Linked DNA regions of Saccharomyces cerevisiae S288C. The gene in region 3 interacts genetically with the main gene of each other region. Each region holds a gene or a part of one and is shown on either strand. Other genes may lie near its edges.

What was found.
Region 1: mutations in SNX4 (region 3) and GAL2 together harm fitness more than expected from each alone (negative genetic interaction), as found in Saccharomyces cerevisiae (2 studies listed by BioGRID).
Region 2: mutations in SNX4 (region 3) and ALG14 together harm fitness more than expected from each alone (negative genetic interaction), as found in Saccharomyces cerevisiae (2 studies listed by BioGRID).
Region 4: of SNX4 (region 3) and RCY1, changing one enhances a phenotype caused by changing the other (phenotypic enhancement), as found in Saccharomyces cerevisiae (3 studies listed by BioGRID, with this or other methods).

What each region holds. Positions count from the first base shown.
Region 1 is NC_001144.5:288,179-292,652, forward strand, and holds GAL2 (galactose permease GAL2), read left to right. Parts: upstream 1-2,033; coding exon 2,034-3,758; downstream 3,759-4,474. Other genes in the region: EMP46 (Emp46p), read left to right, coding at 1-1,072; SRL2 (Srl2p), read right to left, coding at 4,216-4,474. UniProt on the Saccharomyces cerevisiae protein: GAL2 is a facilitated diffusion transporter required for both the high-affinity galactokinase-dependent and low-affinity galactokinase-independent galactose transport processes.
Region 2 is NC_001134.8:378,633-381,952, forward strand, and holds ALG14 (N-acetylglucosaminyldiphosphodolichol N-acetylglucosaminyltransferase anchoring subunit ALG14), read right to left. Parts: upstream 1,303-3,320; coding exon 589-1,302; downstream 1-588. Other genes in the region: YBR071W (uncharacterized protein), read left to right, coding at 1,779-2,414. UniProt on the Saccharomyces cerevisiae protein: Involved in protein N-glycosylation. Essential for the second step of the dolichol-linked oligosaccharide pathway. Anchors the catalytic subunit ALG13 to the ER.
Region 3 is NC_001142.9:376,923-380,701, forward strand, and holds SNX4 (Snx4p), read left to right. Parts: upstream 1-1,902; coding exon 1,903-3,174; downstream 3,175-3,779. Other genes in the region: IRC18 (Irc18p), read left to right, coding at 1-414; TAD2 (tRNA(adenine34) deaminase), read right to left, coding at 3,327-3,779. UniProt on the Saccharomyces cerevisiae protein: Sorting nexin, involved in the separation or division of vacuoles throughout the entire life cycle of the cells.
Region 4 is NC_001142.9:49,808-54,880, reverse strand, and holds RCY1 (Rcy1p), read left to right. Parts: upstream 1-1,729; coding exon 1,730-4,252; downstream 4,253-5,073. Other genes in the region: ECM25 (Ecm25p), read right to left, coding at 1-502; PRP21 (Prp21p), read right to left, coding at 698-1,540; NCE101 (Nce101p), read left to right, coding at 4,438-4,469, 4,613-4,742; YJL206C (uncharacterized protein), read left to right, coding at 4,946-5,073. UniProt on the Saccharomyces cerevisiae protein: Involved in recycling plasma membrane proteins internalized by endocytosis. Required for recycling of the v-SNARE SNC1.

The DNA.
Region 1 (4,474 bases), on a different chromosome or scaffold from region 3:
AGGGAGGTTTGTTTTAACTCCTGGAAAGAACACAAAGGGTTCACTTTGGTTGAAACCTGAATATTCAATAAAGGATGCAATGACAATAGAGTGGACGTTTAGAAGTTTCGGGTTCAGAGGCAGCACAAAGGGGGGTCTTGCATTTTGGCTGAAGCAAGGAAATGAGGGAGATAGTACCGAGTTATTTGGTGGAAGTTCGAAGAAGTTTAATGGTTTGATGATATTGTTACGATTAGACGATAAGTTGGGAGAGAGCGTGACAGCGTATTTGAATGACGGAACAAAAGATCTTGATATTGAATCCTCACCGTACTTTGCGTCATGTCTGTTCCAATACCAGGATTCCATGGTACCATCAACATTAAGATTGACTTACAATCCACTAGATAATCACTTGTTAAAGTTGCAAATGGACAACAGAGTGTGTTTCCAGACAAGGAAAGTTAAATTTATGGGCAGCAGCCCATTTAGGATTGGAACAAGTGCTATCAACGATGCATCCAAAGAATCGTTTGAAATCTTGAAAATGAAGCTTTATGACGGAGTTATAGAGGATTCGCTAATTCCTAACGTGAATCCTATGGGACAACCCAGAGTGGTTACTAAAGTGATCAATTCTCAAACTGGTGAAGAGAGTTTCAGGGAAAAGATGCCATTTTCTGATAAGGAAGAAAGTATAACGAGTAACGAGCTTTTCGAAAAGATGAACAAGTTGGAGGGGAAAATCATGGCAAATGATATCGATCCATTACTCCGCAAGATGAACAAGATTGTGGAGAATGAACGTGAACTGATTCAACGTTTAAGACCACTGTTAGATCTGAAGAAAACAGCCATAAGTGACGATAGTTTCCAAGATTTTCTTTCGATGAACGCAAACCTGGACAGATTGATAAAAGAACAAGAAAAAATTCGACAAGATGCCAAGCTGTATGGCAAGCAGACCAAAGGTCATGATGAGATATTTTCCAAAATAAGTGTATGGTTGGCACTGCTGATTTTCATTATGATCACATTGGCGTACTACATGTTTAGAATTAACCAAGACATCAAGAAGGTCAAACTTCTGTAAGCTCTTGTGTCTTTGTTATATGGGTACAAGATATAAGAAACATAACTATTACATACGAAAATGTGCATGTTATCTATATCCTTCTTTATATAGATGCTGTTAACTTCTTTTTTTTTTTTTGGGAAAATCAACTGTTAAACGCGACAGTAAAAGCAGCAAAACATTAATTTTGCTTCCAAGACGACAGTAATATGTCTCCTACAATACCAGTTTCGCTGCAGAAGGCACATCTATTACATTTACTGAGCATAACGGGCTGTACTAATCCAAGGAGGTTTACGGACCAGGGGAACTTTCCAGATTCAGATCACAGCAATATAGGACTAGAAAATATCAGGTAGCCGCACTCAACTTGTAACTGGCAACTACTTTGCATCAAACTCCAATTAAATGCGGTAGAATCTTTTCACAAAAGGTACTCAACGTCAATTCGGAAAGCTTCCTTCCGGAATGGCTTAAGTAGGTTGCAATTTCTTTTTCTATTAGTAGCTAAAAATGGGTCACGTGATCTATATTCGAAAGGGGCGGTTGCCTCAGGAAGGCACCGGCGGTCTTTCGTCCGTGCGGAGATATCTGCGCCGTTCAGGGGTCCATGTGCCTTGGACGATATTAAGGCAGAAGGCAGTATCGGGGCGGATCACTCCGAACCGAGATTAGTTAAGCCCTTCCCATCTCAAGATGGGGAGCAAATGGCATTATACTCCTGCTAGAAAGTTAACTGTGCACATATTCTTAAATTATACAACATTCTGGAGAGCTATTGTTCAAAAAACAAACATTTCGCAGGCTAAAATGTGGAGATAGGATAAGTTTTGTAGACATATATAAACAATCAGTAATTGGATTGAAAATTTGGTGTTGTGAATTGCTCTTCATTATGCACCTTATTCAATTATCATCAAGAATAGTAATAGTTAAGTAAACACAAGATTAACATAATAAAAAAAATAATTCTTTCATAATGGCAGTTGAGGAGAACAATATGCCTGTTGTTTCACAGCAACCCCAAGCTGGTGAAGACGTGATCTCTTCACTCAGTAAAGATTCCCATTTAAGCGCACAATCTCAAAAGTATTCTAATGATGAATTGAAAGCCGGTGAGTCAGGGTCTGAAGGCTCCCAAAGTGTTCCTATAGAGATACCCAAGAAGCCCATGTCTGAATATGTTACCGTTTCCTTGCTTTGTTTGTGTGTTGCCTTCGGCGGCTTCATGTTTGGCTGGGATACCGGTACTATTTCTGGGTTTGTTGTCCAAACAGACTTTTTGAGAAGGTTTGGTATGAAACATAAGGATGGTACCCACTATTTGTCAAACGTCAGAACAGGTTTAATCGTCGCCATTTTCAATATTGGCTGTGCCTTTGGTGGTATTATACTTTCCAAAGGTGGAGATATGTATGGCCGTAAAAAGGGTCTTTCGATTGTCGTCTCGGTTTATATAGTTGGTATTATCATTCAAATTGCCTCTATCAACAAGTGGTACCAATATTTCATTGGTAGAATCATATCTGGTTTGGGTGTCGGCGGCATCGCCGTCTTATGTCCTATGTTGATCTCTGAAATTGCTCCAAAGCACTTGAGAGGCACACTAGTTTCTTGTTATCAGCTGATGATTACTGCAGGTATCTTTTTGGGCTACTGTACTAATTACGGTACAAAGAGCTATTCGAACTCAGTTCAATGGAGAGTTCCATTAGGGCTATGTTTCGCTTGGTCATTATTTATGATTGGCGCTTTGACGTTAGTTCCTGAATCCCCACGTTATTTATGTGAGGTGAATAAGGTAGAAGACGCCAAGCGTTCCATTGCTAAGTCTAACAAGGTGTCACCAGAGGATCCTGCCGTCCAGGCAGAGTTAGATCTGATCATGGCCGGTATAGAAGCTGAAAAACTGGCTGGCAATGCGTCCTGGGGGGAATTATTTTCCACCAAGACCAAAGTATTTCAACGTTTGTTGATGGGTGTGTTTGTTCAAATGTTCCAACAATTAACCGGTAACAATTATTTTTTCTACTACGGTACCGTTATTTTCAAGTCAGTTGGCCTGGATGATTCCTTTGAAACATCCATTGTCATTGGTGTAGTCAACTTTGCCTCCACTTTCTTTAGTTTGTGGACTGTCGAAAACTTGGGACATCGTAAATGTTTACTTTTGGGCGCTGCCACTATGATGGCTTGTATGGTCATCTACGCCTCTGTTGGTGTTACTAGATTATATCCTCACGGTAAAAGCCAGCCATCTTCTAAAGGTGCCGGTAACTGTATGATTGTCTTTACCTGTTTTTATATTTTCTGTTATGCCACAACCTGGGCGCCAGTTGCCTGGGTCATCACAGCAGAATCATTCCCACTGAGAGTCAAGTCGAAATGTATGGCGTTGGCCTCTGCTTCCAATTGGGTATGGGGGTTCTTGATTGCATTTTTCACCCCATTCATCACATCTGCCATTAACTTCTACTACGGTTATGTCTTCATGGGCTGTTTGGTTGCCATGTTTTTTTATGTCTTTTTCTTTGTTCCAGAAACTAAAGGCCTATCGTTAGAAGAAATTCAAGAATTATGGGAAGAAGGTGTTTTACCTTGGAAATCTGAAGGCTGGATTCCTTCATCCAGAAGAGGTAATAATTACGATTTAGAGGATTTACAACATGACGACAAACCGTGGTACAAGGCCATGCTAGAATAATGCGTTTGAAGTGAGACGCTCCATCATCTCTCTTAATTTTTCATGACTGACGTTTTTTCTTCATTTTAATTATCATAGTATTTGTTTGAAAAAAAAAAAAAAAAATTTCCCTTATCAATGATATCCTTACGATTATATAAATTCCTTACCTAAACCTATTATTTGTGTACATATATCAGAGTATTATTACATATATAACCTTTTTCTCTAAAACAGGAAAAAAAAAAGAAAACGATAACATGCTCTGCCATCCTTTGTTCACCGAGCAAAATTAAAAACGCAAAATGAATTGTCCCTATGAAATTATTAAAGGACCACATCACCAGACTTATCTCTGGGGGGTCCTCTAGAAAATAAGTCAGGTACTTGCCTGGACTTTCTTCCAGTTGAATTCCTGAGCTAACATACAATTAATGGAGTGAGAATGTTCGAACGATCCAGGAGTTGCTTTTTTCAGTCATTTGTTTATCAGTGTAACAAGCATTTCCTTTATTTCTTTTATATCAACCTGCAACCTATTAATATTCAATTCAACGTCTCGGAGCTTTTCTCGTACCGTTTTACCATCATCCATTTCCATGCTAACTAATTCTGAGATTACGATTACATATTGTCTCAGTTCTGGTTCATCAATGGCTGATAAAACTTTCATTACATTTTGGAAAAAATCTTCGTCATTTAGGTCTAAAGTCAGGATTTGGTTCCTTATAGACTCT
Region 2 (3,320 bases), on a different chromosome or scaffold from region 3:
TAATTTCCAAAACAGGTGAGATGAGGTAACCCATTCGAAAAATTTAAATGTTCAGACACTGTCAAGTTAAAGAATATAACCTGGAGGTTTTCTTTTCTTTTTGTCCATCAAAATGCACTTTTTTTGAAAAAAAATGCCTTGTCAAGATAATGTGAAGTTTACTGGAAGGGCCCTTTCCTCATCGGGTTGCCGGCCCTGACTGACCTTTTTTGTATTTTTGGCCGTCCCGGCGCGGCGAAGAGTGAGACGACACCAAATAGCCGTACGGCAATAATCCTCGTGCAAAAATCTCTAAGACCGGTGTCGCATTATCCTTTACACACCAAATTTGGTGCCGTAATGCATTATGCATACACTGTGCAATTATGCAGACATGAAATGTGATTGTTTGCTTTGTATACGTAGTAATTGTAAGTAAGTGATTTACTGATTTACTTTCTGGTTAGCAGTGGTAGTTTTAATGCGTTGGCCGGATTGTTTATATTTTGTGAAGCAATCCTGGAAATTTTAAGCATCAAAGAAGGTGCGGTGCCACCATAAGACTTCAAAAATAGTTGGAAGTTTTACTATCCTACATAAATGGTTTACTTAAACAAGGATGCCGAACCACTTGGATCTTGGTAAATAATTGTCCCTCAATTCTTGCCACTGGACAATGAATTCATCCACTACCCAATATAATATTTTTCCGGTCAGACTAGGAGTATTAATCCTTGCCAGCGATTCTACATAAACTATATGGGAGGAACCCAACAGGGGCAAAAGAAGTTCCATAATTTTCAACCAAAAGGATATTATACAGCATGTTCCAGGCCCATTCAATAAAAACAGATGAGGGGAACCACACATAGCAAATCTGATTCTAACCACGTGCACAAAAGATTGTACCAACGTTCCAATGATGGTCTTTACACTTTGTAGGAGAGTCGCTTTAACTTCCCTAGCTTTCATGAATTCATAGTATTTTACTTTGCAATGACCAAATTTTTTTATAAAGTGGGCGAATCTTTGCCTGGAAGCCTCATCAGAATAACCCAAGTACACAATCGACTTACCCAGTAAAAGATCCTGGTAATTTTCTAGAAGACGGATCATTTCACCAGTATGACCTCCCGATCCTAAGAATACAAAAATCTTGAGCGGTTTCTTTGACGATTTTCGTATTTTCAGTAGGTTAACTCCATCTTTCGTATCCTTTTCTGTACCTGCTTGAGTGTGGAAAAAAGGCAGAATCGCTATCAACCTAATAACATATGCTGTCGATACGATGAGCACCAATGACGCCAAGTAGGCCGTTTTCATGATCTTCAAGTCACTTCTTTCGACTTTCCTGATACAATAATAAACCGCCGATTACAGTTATTGCGGGCCCTTGTACATGAAATATTAGGATGGCTTCGCTAAGAACATTTTTGCTTCTGGACAGACAGAACACGTAAAAAAAGAAACACGAAATTACGACTAACTTTCGCGTAGGGGTAAAATTACCTAATGCGCGTAATTAAAAAAAAAAGCACAGCAGTGTAAATTGGAGCAATAGGAGAAAATGACCTGTAAAGGAAGTATTCGAATTCACTAGTGCGGATATTAATAGAATTCATAATTTCGCGCTTGGCTGCTCATTATATTCTTGACTATTTGCCAAACTGTTATAAAGAAGCCTCAATATTCGTTTGGTTTATTGTTAAAGAAGGCGCAAGCTCGGCACGAGAAATATACGACGATAAAGAACATACCAACTATATATTGTGACGGCACAAAAAGACAAAATACGTAAAATGCTAAGACGCTCTAAAAATTCCAGCACTAACACAAACGCAGACACCAAGAAAAGACAATCCATGCATTTAGGATCCAAAAGTTCGCTAATCTCGCTGACTAGCGAATTTGGCCATGGACACTCCAAGACGAAGCAGAAAAAGGAGGAGGGCACAGCTCCTTCTCAATTCCTGTCTCCTACGAATAAGAGAAGCACATCTAGTCAGTCAAAGTTAAAAAGGAGCAGCTTGTTACTGGACGAAACACTGCTTAAAGACTACCACTCGGCCATGAGGCACATGCAAACAAACGCTGCAAAGGAAGAAAAGCTGCGGATGGCTCCATCACCAACGCAGTCAACGAGGAGCGAATCAGACGCCAGTCTTTCCTCCACCAAGAGCTCGATCTCTTCCATATTTTCCCAAGATAATGACTATTCCATTCACGATTTGTTGTACGAAGATATTGAAGAGATGGATAAAACAGACGCTTTCAAAATTAACAACACAATAGCAATCGATGATTCTAAAGCTCTCTTTGTCTTCTGTTCAAACGACTCCTCCTCAAGGACAGCGTCTATCGAAACATTGCACGAATCAAATTTGGACAACCTGGATATGGGTTCCAGTAGAAGGACATCGTTGGACTTTTTTTAATATAACCTACCATAGGACACACTTTGTTGTTGATGTTGGACAATTCGTTAATTAAGAGTCCCTAAACGGCTCTACTAGTTCCAACCTCACTTTGTTTTTTCATTTTTTTATGTTTTTTCTAGAACCTTCTTTACGTGATTCTCGCTCGGAATCCGTCAATAGAATGTTTTCAGTCTCCGTTTCAATATTCTGCGCACATCAATCATTTTCTTACTACATACACTAACATTACTCCTAGTTTAATTTAATTGAATTTTTAACTTTCTTTTCTTTTCATTTGGCAATTTGGCTCCTTGAAAACAAGACTATGGGTCTCTCTCATAAGCCTCAGGGGGGGACCCCAAAAAAATAACGCGGCCATCTTGCATGCACCGTTGAACCTGTAGCTTACAGTAAGCCACAATTCTCTTACCTTCTTGGCAATGTGGCACAAAATAATCTGGTTATGTGTCTTCATTTGGTAATCACTGGGATGTTACTGGGGCAGCAGCAACTCCGTGTGTACCCCTAACTCCGTGTGTACCCCTAAAGAACCTTGCCTGTCAAGGTGCATTGTTGGATCGGAATAGTAACCGTCTTTACATGAACATCCACAACCAACGAAAGTGCTTTTTCAAGCATTGCTTGATTTCTAGAAAGATCGATGGTTATTCCCTCCCCCTTATGCGTCCAAAAATATAGGGTGCTCGTAACAGTAAGGTATTCGCACTTAGCGTGCTCGCAACACAAAATTAAGTAATATGCGAGTTTTAGATGTCCTTGCGGATCTATGCACGTTCTTGAGTGGTATTTCATAACAACGGTTCTTTTTCACCCTTATTCCTAAACATATAAATAGGACCTCCATTAGTTAGAGATCTGTTTTTAATCCATTCACCTTTCATTCTACTCTCTTATACTAATAAA
Region 3 (3,779 bases):
AACAAGGTGAATATGCTAACAAGGGAAATCCAAATGGAAACTGTTGGCAATAACACATTTGAAACAGAAACAGGGAAGCTAACTAAGGGCCTAAACCGAGCAGTAAATATATCTCCGTTCAAGTACATAAAAAAATTCAAGACCGTTTCAACAAAGAAATTTGAAAGCCTCTTGAATAAGTATGATCTGGTTGCCAAGAAGGGCGGGGAATTGACAGAGGAACAAAAGAAAAAGAAGGAGGTGCTCTCACGGATCAGTAGAGTAGTCGCTGCAACAACGATAGAGGCTGGTCTGGCACAAGGTGTGGTTGATTTATGTATAACAGTGACAACTAGTCTATGCTTAGTCTCGGCCAGCATTGGAGGCGTCGGATTTCTTATTTGGCTCACCATTATATACCAAGCTCTGACTTAGGAAAATGTTGCCGATTTTGTTTTTGCCACTCCTGTACATTGTTTAATCTCAGATCGTTGTATATATATACATATATATAGTGTTTTAACGACATTCTTATATTTGCATTTCTGCTTCTTATTACACCTAACTATTCTGTAACTGCCATGGGTAAGCATTTTTGAAGTATTAATTAACAATTAAACTTTCAAACATACCCACCCTTTCGTTGGAATAAAAATCAATTAACACCCACTGACTAGTAAATATTACTAGAATAACTGATGATTATGCCAATTTTCTGACAGTTGTTGGGTTTCCATTGTTGACGAAGGTCCTATTATTAGATATACGGAACATACTAGATCTCTCGAGCCTATCGGAACCTACTAAGCGGAATCGGCAATATACATGTTATTCATTTTTTTCGTTTTTCGTTTTACATTATTAATTTTACGTCTCAACTTGGTTCAATTTCAGAGACAGCATCTCATCACATCTATCATCTTTTTGTACCACATAAGGTAATATACACGTAATAATAGGCAATAGATGTGTGCGAATGAACTTCCAATATAATCCATTTAGTAGTGCCTTTTGTTACTAATATTCGTCAGTTTCTCAAGCTGACACTTGATTTATTCTAAACAAATTTCAATCTTGGACAATTAGTTGACATAAACTACGTTACTAATTTTTGTTGTATTAAGGGCTTAAATAATACCGGATGTCTTGGCAATTCTATCGTTAGGAGAGTAATAGTTGTCAGACTTATTGTCGGCTTGTTCGCACATCGTTACTTATCCTATATTATACATAAGATCTGGTGAAGCGAGGAGTCCCATGTCTAAACCGATTGCTCAGGTATTTACAGGTTTAACTGCTTCATTTAAGCAAGCAATTATTGAATTATATACTCAATCTTGTCTCTCCCGTTACTATTATTTCATTCGCGTTTTATACATCTTTATTATTATAAGTTTGATACGGTAACTTTACAATCGATTAATTTCTGCTGAAAGCCCAAGCTTTCATAAATTAATAGGTTTCGTGGTCTAGTCGGTTATGGCATCTGCTTAACACGCAGAACGTCCCCAGTTCGATCCTGGGCGAAATCAATTTTTTGTTTTTTTAATTCACAAGAATAACCTGGTATTGTTATAAGCAAGCCACCCTTTGCGTACGATCAAACACCCTATAAAATCTATATGCAATACTGAGATATTGTATTTTTTCTCCTTTAATTGTTTATAGTTCAGAATAACAGTTCAAAAATCTATGCCGCGCTCACAGGGTCCTGCCGGGTATTCGCCCTCCAGCTTGAAAGGGGTGGCAATGCCCAAGAGCGATGTATAGTTTAGTATCAAGGAATTGAGAGAGGTATTACACCAAGGATTTCCGTGAACGAAGTGACGACGCAAGATTAACAGATTAAATTCTGGTAGTAGGCTAAGCCGTTATTAAACTTTATTTACGGTATACCACAATACTGCTCTTTTTGTTGAGGATATGACAGACAAAGGCAAGAACGATTTAACAAGCAAAGCTAAGGACAAAGCCAGAGGCAACCCCGAGAAGCCACCATATTGGTTTGAAATCATTGTTTCTGATCCACAAAAAAGAACTGGTGACCCAGGCTCTTCATCTGGCTACGTGAGTTATCAGATATCAACAAAGACTAACAACACGTCATTTTATGATAATCGTGGCGATCCAGAATCTATTATAGTTGTACATAGAAGATACAGTGACCTATTGCTCCTGCATGATATTTTACTCAACAGGTTCCCCACCTGCATCATCCCGCCATTACCTGATAAGAAAGTTTTTCAATACATAGCAGGCGATAGGTTTAGCCAAAGATTTACACAAAAGAGATGTCATAGTTTGCAAAATTTCCTAAGAAGGGTCTCTTTGCATCCCGATCTTTCTCAATCAAAAGTCTTCAAAACTTTTTTGGTGAGTAAAGATTGGGAATCTCACCGCAAAGTCCTCCAGGATAGCTTGCAACCAAATAAAGATGAAGTTACTGATGCTTTTATGAATGCCTTCAAAACAGTTCACAAGCAAAACGAAGAATTCACTGAGATAAGGGAGAAAAGTGATAAACTAGATCGGACTGTGACAAAGATAGATAAACTTTTTCATAAGGTTGTGAAAAAAAATGATTCGATGTCTGAAGACTATACAAAGTTGGGCAGTAATTTACAGGAATTACAAGAATTGGTCACAGGCGAAAACGAGGAACTTGCTGCGAAGTTGAAGATTTTTAATGAAGGTGTAACACAGCTGTCATATGGCTTGCAAGATCTTACAAAGTATCTGGATTACGAATATATTGTTGATTTGAAGGATCTTGAACACTACATTGATAGTATGCGACAGCTGATCAAATTGAAAGACCAGAAACAGATAGACTACGAAGAACTAAGTGATTATTTAACCAGGTCAATCAAAGAAAAAAATAACTTGATTTCTGGATACGGAGGTAGTAATTTCTTTGCCAATAAATTGGAAGAACTAGCGGGAATAAATCAGGAGGCTTCACGTAGAGAAAAAATCAATAAACTAGAAGGCAAAATAACGTCATTAACAGGTGAATTAGAAAACGCTAAAAAGGTGGCGGATGGATTCGAACAGGAATGCTTGAAGGAAATAGACCATTTCGAAAGTGTAAAAACGGCTGAAATCAAGAAATCTCTGGGCTCACTAGCGGACCATCATATCGAATTCTACGAAAGGATACTTGAAGCATGGGAAAAAGTAGACGATAGTCTATAGTGGTGCTCTTAATGTTTTCCCATTACTACTGATAATACCTTGGGCACTACGATTATCTGATCACATTTAACAGAGAAATTTAAAAAAAGAAAAATATCTATATAAAAATATGTAAATGTTGCTATTATTTTATGATGTTCTGATTTTTTTCGTCAAACCTTAGATTTCTTATGTACATTAAACTTAAACATTTTGCATTGTTCTTCCAGTTCTTGGATTATATTATCTTGGTGGGAGTCAATCAAATCCCAATCGACGCTATTACTGGACAAGTCAACTTTATTCGCAAAACAAGTCCTGTAATCATCACCAAAAGTCTCAATGAATGCTTCTTCATTAAGATACTTTGACCATTCCATAGGCGGAAACGTGTTTTTATCCAACACTCTGTCACTCTTGGACCGTGGCTTTGGCGCCCTTTCATTTTGTCTTACATAAAAGTATCTCAGCAGCATTATTGCTTCTTTCCTCAAGATCCCCGGTATACTCTCGTACCCTGCCGCACTATTGTTCTTGGGCACTAATGTACACGTATCATGATTTACTGACAAGACAGTACCGTTGCCTCCAAATCTCTCGTTGCCACAACCGAACACCACCTTTCC
Region 4 (5,073 bases), 330 kb from region 3:
GGTAATCATATAAGTACACGTTCAACGATATTCTAAGTCGCGTAATATCTATTAGCTCGGATAAAGAAGTCAGGTCCAAGACATGAACTAAACTTGGAAAATCATGCTGACTATCTTTTGAGTCCAAGAAGTTAAAGTTCATAGCGTTTGAAATTACTTGATAGACCGACCTAACGAAGAATGACTCATGAACAATAAAAATCTTTTGTAAATAGAACTTGGTCTCTTTGGGTAACTTTGCAAACATTTTAATACCGTAAACCCAGCTTATTTTTCTCTGGGAAAACCCAGATGAAAAAATCACCAGTGAATATGGTGCCTGTGGCAATTTCATTACCAATCGATCCATGAGGGCATTAATAAGCAAGTCATAAACTTGCTTATCGCCAATTTCATCAGATGCTGGCAAATAAGTCGAATCAAAGACATAAATTGCGTGACCAGAGTTAGGATCAACTGAATAAGATCTAAAAAATATGTTATTAACGTTGATATCTATCATCCTGGCCTTCTTTCACGCTACCAATAGTATTATCCAGTAGGGCCATATCCTCGAGAATTTCACTTTCTATATACAAAATAACATCAACATGAAAAAACGCCAAAATACGTACGCCGTTAATAGTGATACATGTGCTCAATTACGGTGCATCATCAACCTTTACATACTTCTAGCTAACTTTGATTTTCATGAGGCTTATTTTTTACTTTTCTTTAACCTTGTCTCTCCCACAGCTCTAATTTTACGCTTTTTGCCCTTACTATCTCCTCCTTTTTGCTTACCTTGGTCGGATACTATCTTTTCTTCTTCATTTGTCGGCTTGATACTATCGAATAACTTAATACCAGTTTGTACTCTTCGCAGCCTCATCTGTTCTAAATCTAGAGAGCCTTCGAAGATTTCTGTGTCTTCAGGGATAGAAAATTTTGCCACTTGAGTAAATTTATCCCATGGAATGGCTGCAAATTGTATTTTGCACAACTCTACGAGCTTATCATGTTCCCGGTCTTTATCTTTCTCAAATTCCCAATACTGTGTTCTCTCAAAACAATTATCTAAAATGGTTCTCTTACTTTTCTTGATTTCTTGACCAGTAAAAGAATATACTCGCTTGTACTGGGCGACAAAATCAGTGAATGTCTTATGTAGCGGATGTGAGCTGTTCATAAAGTTTAATCTGGCTTCACCATCCTTTGAAATCATCTGTTCAACAATACTTTTATCCTTTGCATAGTAGCGTGCTGTCAATTTGATTACTTCCATGTCTCTTCGGGATATTCCAGTATCATATTGAGAGAACAGAAAATCCGGCGGCCTTGCTATCTCTCGCTCACTCTTTCTGTCATTATCTTCACCGCTGACAGTGTCTGTTGGCTCATTCATGAGTTTGGTGTAGTATTCATGGAGTGGGTCATCTTTCTTGATGAATGAGAATCTCTCATCTTCTAGCAGTTTGTTCTCAAACTCAACACCATGCTGCTTTATGTAATTTACTGTGGTTTTAATGTCCTCTTTCAGCTGGGTATCTTCTGGTTCCATTTATACAACTGCAAATTATTGCTGTTAGTTTTACGCTTTACCTTATTTCTTCCTGTATTTAAGTGTTTCAAGGCTAACTTTTGCCGAAATATTTCGTTGAAGGAAGGTTCTTATTTTATCAAAAAATGGTCAACAGACAAACAATAGAAAAACCAAAAGAAAACAAAAGCTTTTGAGGAAATCGGTAAAATGGATGATCTGCTAAAAGTTCCCGAGATTGTAACCAATATTGCCTCATATTTATCTACTGTAGATTATCTGAGTTTTCAACAAGTGAATAAACGGGTTTATGCAATCATTAACGGCAAAAATGATTCAAAGTATTGGTCATTGAAATTGACTAGAATGGGTCTCCAACAGGTGCATTCAAATGAAGAAGAAGAAATTACGTTGCTGGATGAAAATGATAATCAAAATTCCCTTCGCATCTTCGAAATATACAAATCTTTCACTGCTCAAAATTCTAAAAAAATCTTTGTGAAATTTTACCGTTGTTATAACTCATACGCTAGGAAGCTATATAATAATAATCTAGCAAATTTCTTTCCTACTTCATATTCCAACGATCCGTTGAAACAAACAAGAATTCTAAATTTTATCAAAAAGTACAATTTCTCGAATAAAAATGATATAGAAACATTTACTAGGATTGAAACTAATTTCAACATTCTTAGGGAAATCTTCATTAATTCTGTTCTCAAAGAGTCAGAATTGAATTACCAGTCTAATAATTTAGCTGCCGTCGCTCGTTTCATGAAAATTTTATTGATATCTAATGAGGAAAGCAATGCTATCGAATTTTTCAAGTCAAAGGCTGATTTGCCTCCCAGTTTAACGGTTTTGCCGTCTAATGATGAATTATTTTGGGCCGAACAACCAAGGGAAGAGGACAGCGGTGGGAGTACCGTGATATTTAATTCTAAAAATTTAGATACGTTTCTCAATCAGCTAAGGGATTTCCTCAACGAAAAGATTAAATTAGCGGACATTTTATTCAAAGATGAGTTCCCTGTAATATTACAGTTCATCGAGTCCTTTATCCAAGATATTTTATTAGATATTTTAAACAATATCTTATTAAGCTATAGTGAATTTTTAAAAGAAAATGGAAAGGATAGTAAAGCCAATTATGAATGCGTACCCGAACTTTATTTCACATTTATAAAAAAGTTTGATACTGAATTAAACGACTCAGTAAACGCAGGCGCAAATTTCCGTAAAGTTGTTCGTGACCTTTTAAACCTGTATCTCGAGCCCTTTGTTGTCAACTATATGAATCAGACAACTAGAGTATTTGAATCATTGATCAACTCACAATTAGCTAATTATGACACACAAGTTCAAGACAAGCAGCGTGAGCAAAACGCAAAAATTTATAACACTTTAAAAGATCAAACGGATGCTTCGAGTGCAAGTAACAATGAATTGCCGAATGACCTCTCAATAATTACTGAAACCTCCAAAACTGTCCCAGAAGCGGATTCAAAACCAAGTACGATCCATCAATCAGTTCATTCAACTGATATTTCTAATGATAAACTAGACTTTCTAAGTTCCTTCACCAAGATTTTCAAGTTCTCGAACAATGAAAATCAAAGGCTAAAGCAACAACTACAACTAGCCTACAACTTAAATTTAATTTCCAATAACTTGCAAAACATTAAATCGTTAATAAGTCTCGATTTATGTTACAAAATTTTACAGGAAACAAGCGAAAAGACGGATCAAATTTACAAATTTCATACGATTGAAAGTTTGCTACCATTGATCAAGCTACGCTGTCAAGAGATTTTCAAAATTTTAATTACACAATTGAATAAAAATCACGTTAAACCTGCATTTGAAAAGGCAATCCTGCTACTACAAAAATATAATCCTAACGAAATAGAACAAATAGAAATAAAATTCAATTCACTTTCGCCAGCCAATACTCAAGTCGAACCTTTAGTACAATTCACTGAACTTATCAATATAGGTGACATAATATTACAAATGATTTCCATTTTTTACAAGAACGAATTGATTCCCAAAAAAATTATCGATAAAAATAAAGATTTTCTTAATGATGTTATCCAATTAAAAAAAAATTTTGAGACTTCTATCGATGATTTTGTAGCCGAAGGTTTAAATATCGGTATAAACAAACTAATGGATGAAATCTCATTTGTATTCAAGACTCTTCAATTGCCTGACGATTATAATCCACCGCCACCCTCTAGGAATTCTCCAATAAGGGATATAAAGCCAACCAAATGTGCTATCAGGGTAGTCGAGTTACTTTCTAATCATTGCTTTCTACTGACTGGTGCCACAGACAAGGGTACTATTGACGTGTACCAACAAGAAATTGGCGAGAGATTCTTTAATGAAATCGTCAAACATCTGAAGAAGTGCTTCATATCTACGGAGGGCGCAATTTGGTTAATCTGCGATTTAAATTACTTTTACGATTTTATTGCTAACAAATTAAAACAAAAAAATGTTGTTCCCTATTTTGTTGGGCTTAAGTCTATTGGCCAGTTATACATCATTTCAGGCAAGGACTCGAAAGAGTTGGGAAAGCTTATTTCTGATCTTGGGAAATTCAATGGCATTTTTACGCAAGAGGAAATTTATGAATTTGTTCAGAGGAGAAGCGATTGGGTTCGTGTACGGAAAGACGTTGAAAAGGTAATGTACGGCCTAGGCATACGAGATTGCTGCATTATGTAAATTCCTATCAATGATTAATTATATTACTCTATATAGGTATGAAGTGCGGAAATAAAAGACTGTTCACATATTAGATTATTCAAGATTACGCGGGCTCTATTTTTCCCTGTTAGCCACACGCACACAAGGGGCATACAAATGTTCACTCCATTTATAAGAGGATTCCACACAAGATCATCGATAACATGGTTCAGTACGCTCCCTTTCTATTAGGAAAGTATGTTCATTCTTCATACGCTATTCTATTTTTTTTTTTTTCACACTTATTCTTTTACTAACGCATAGTTAACCATTTGCTGTTTCGAAGAGGCAACATCAAACAAGTCGATGTGCTCTTTCCCAAGCTGGTCTCTATTGCAGATTTTCTGATCCGTTATTGGCAATTATGGTAGGCTGTCTCAGCTACTATGTGTACGAAAGGAAAATGGGGCGTCCACAAGGTCATCATTTACACGAGCTCATAAAGAAGCGATGGGACGATCGCAAATAATAATCCGGCGTGAGGGGAGTATATATAAGTTTCTGGCGATATGTAAATACCATAATAATTAATCCTAGGATCTACCTTTATACGCATTTATCCTATAAAAACCCAATCTTTCAGATCCACAGTATTTTTATATGTGTGATTTCCTTGATTGTCTCAATTTAAAGAGTAATACATACAACTTAGACCAAAGAATTATTCAATAGATGACGCCGAAAGAATCTGGAAAGCCTATTTCGTGTGCAATGAAGAAGTTGAAAGGCAAGAGATCTAAGATTTTGGTTTTATCTAGAGATGCGGGCACCAACGAATTGAAGCCAACGAAAGGAAGAGC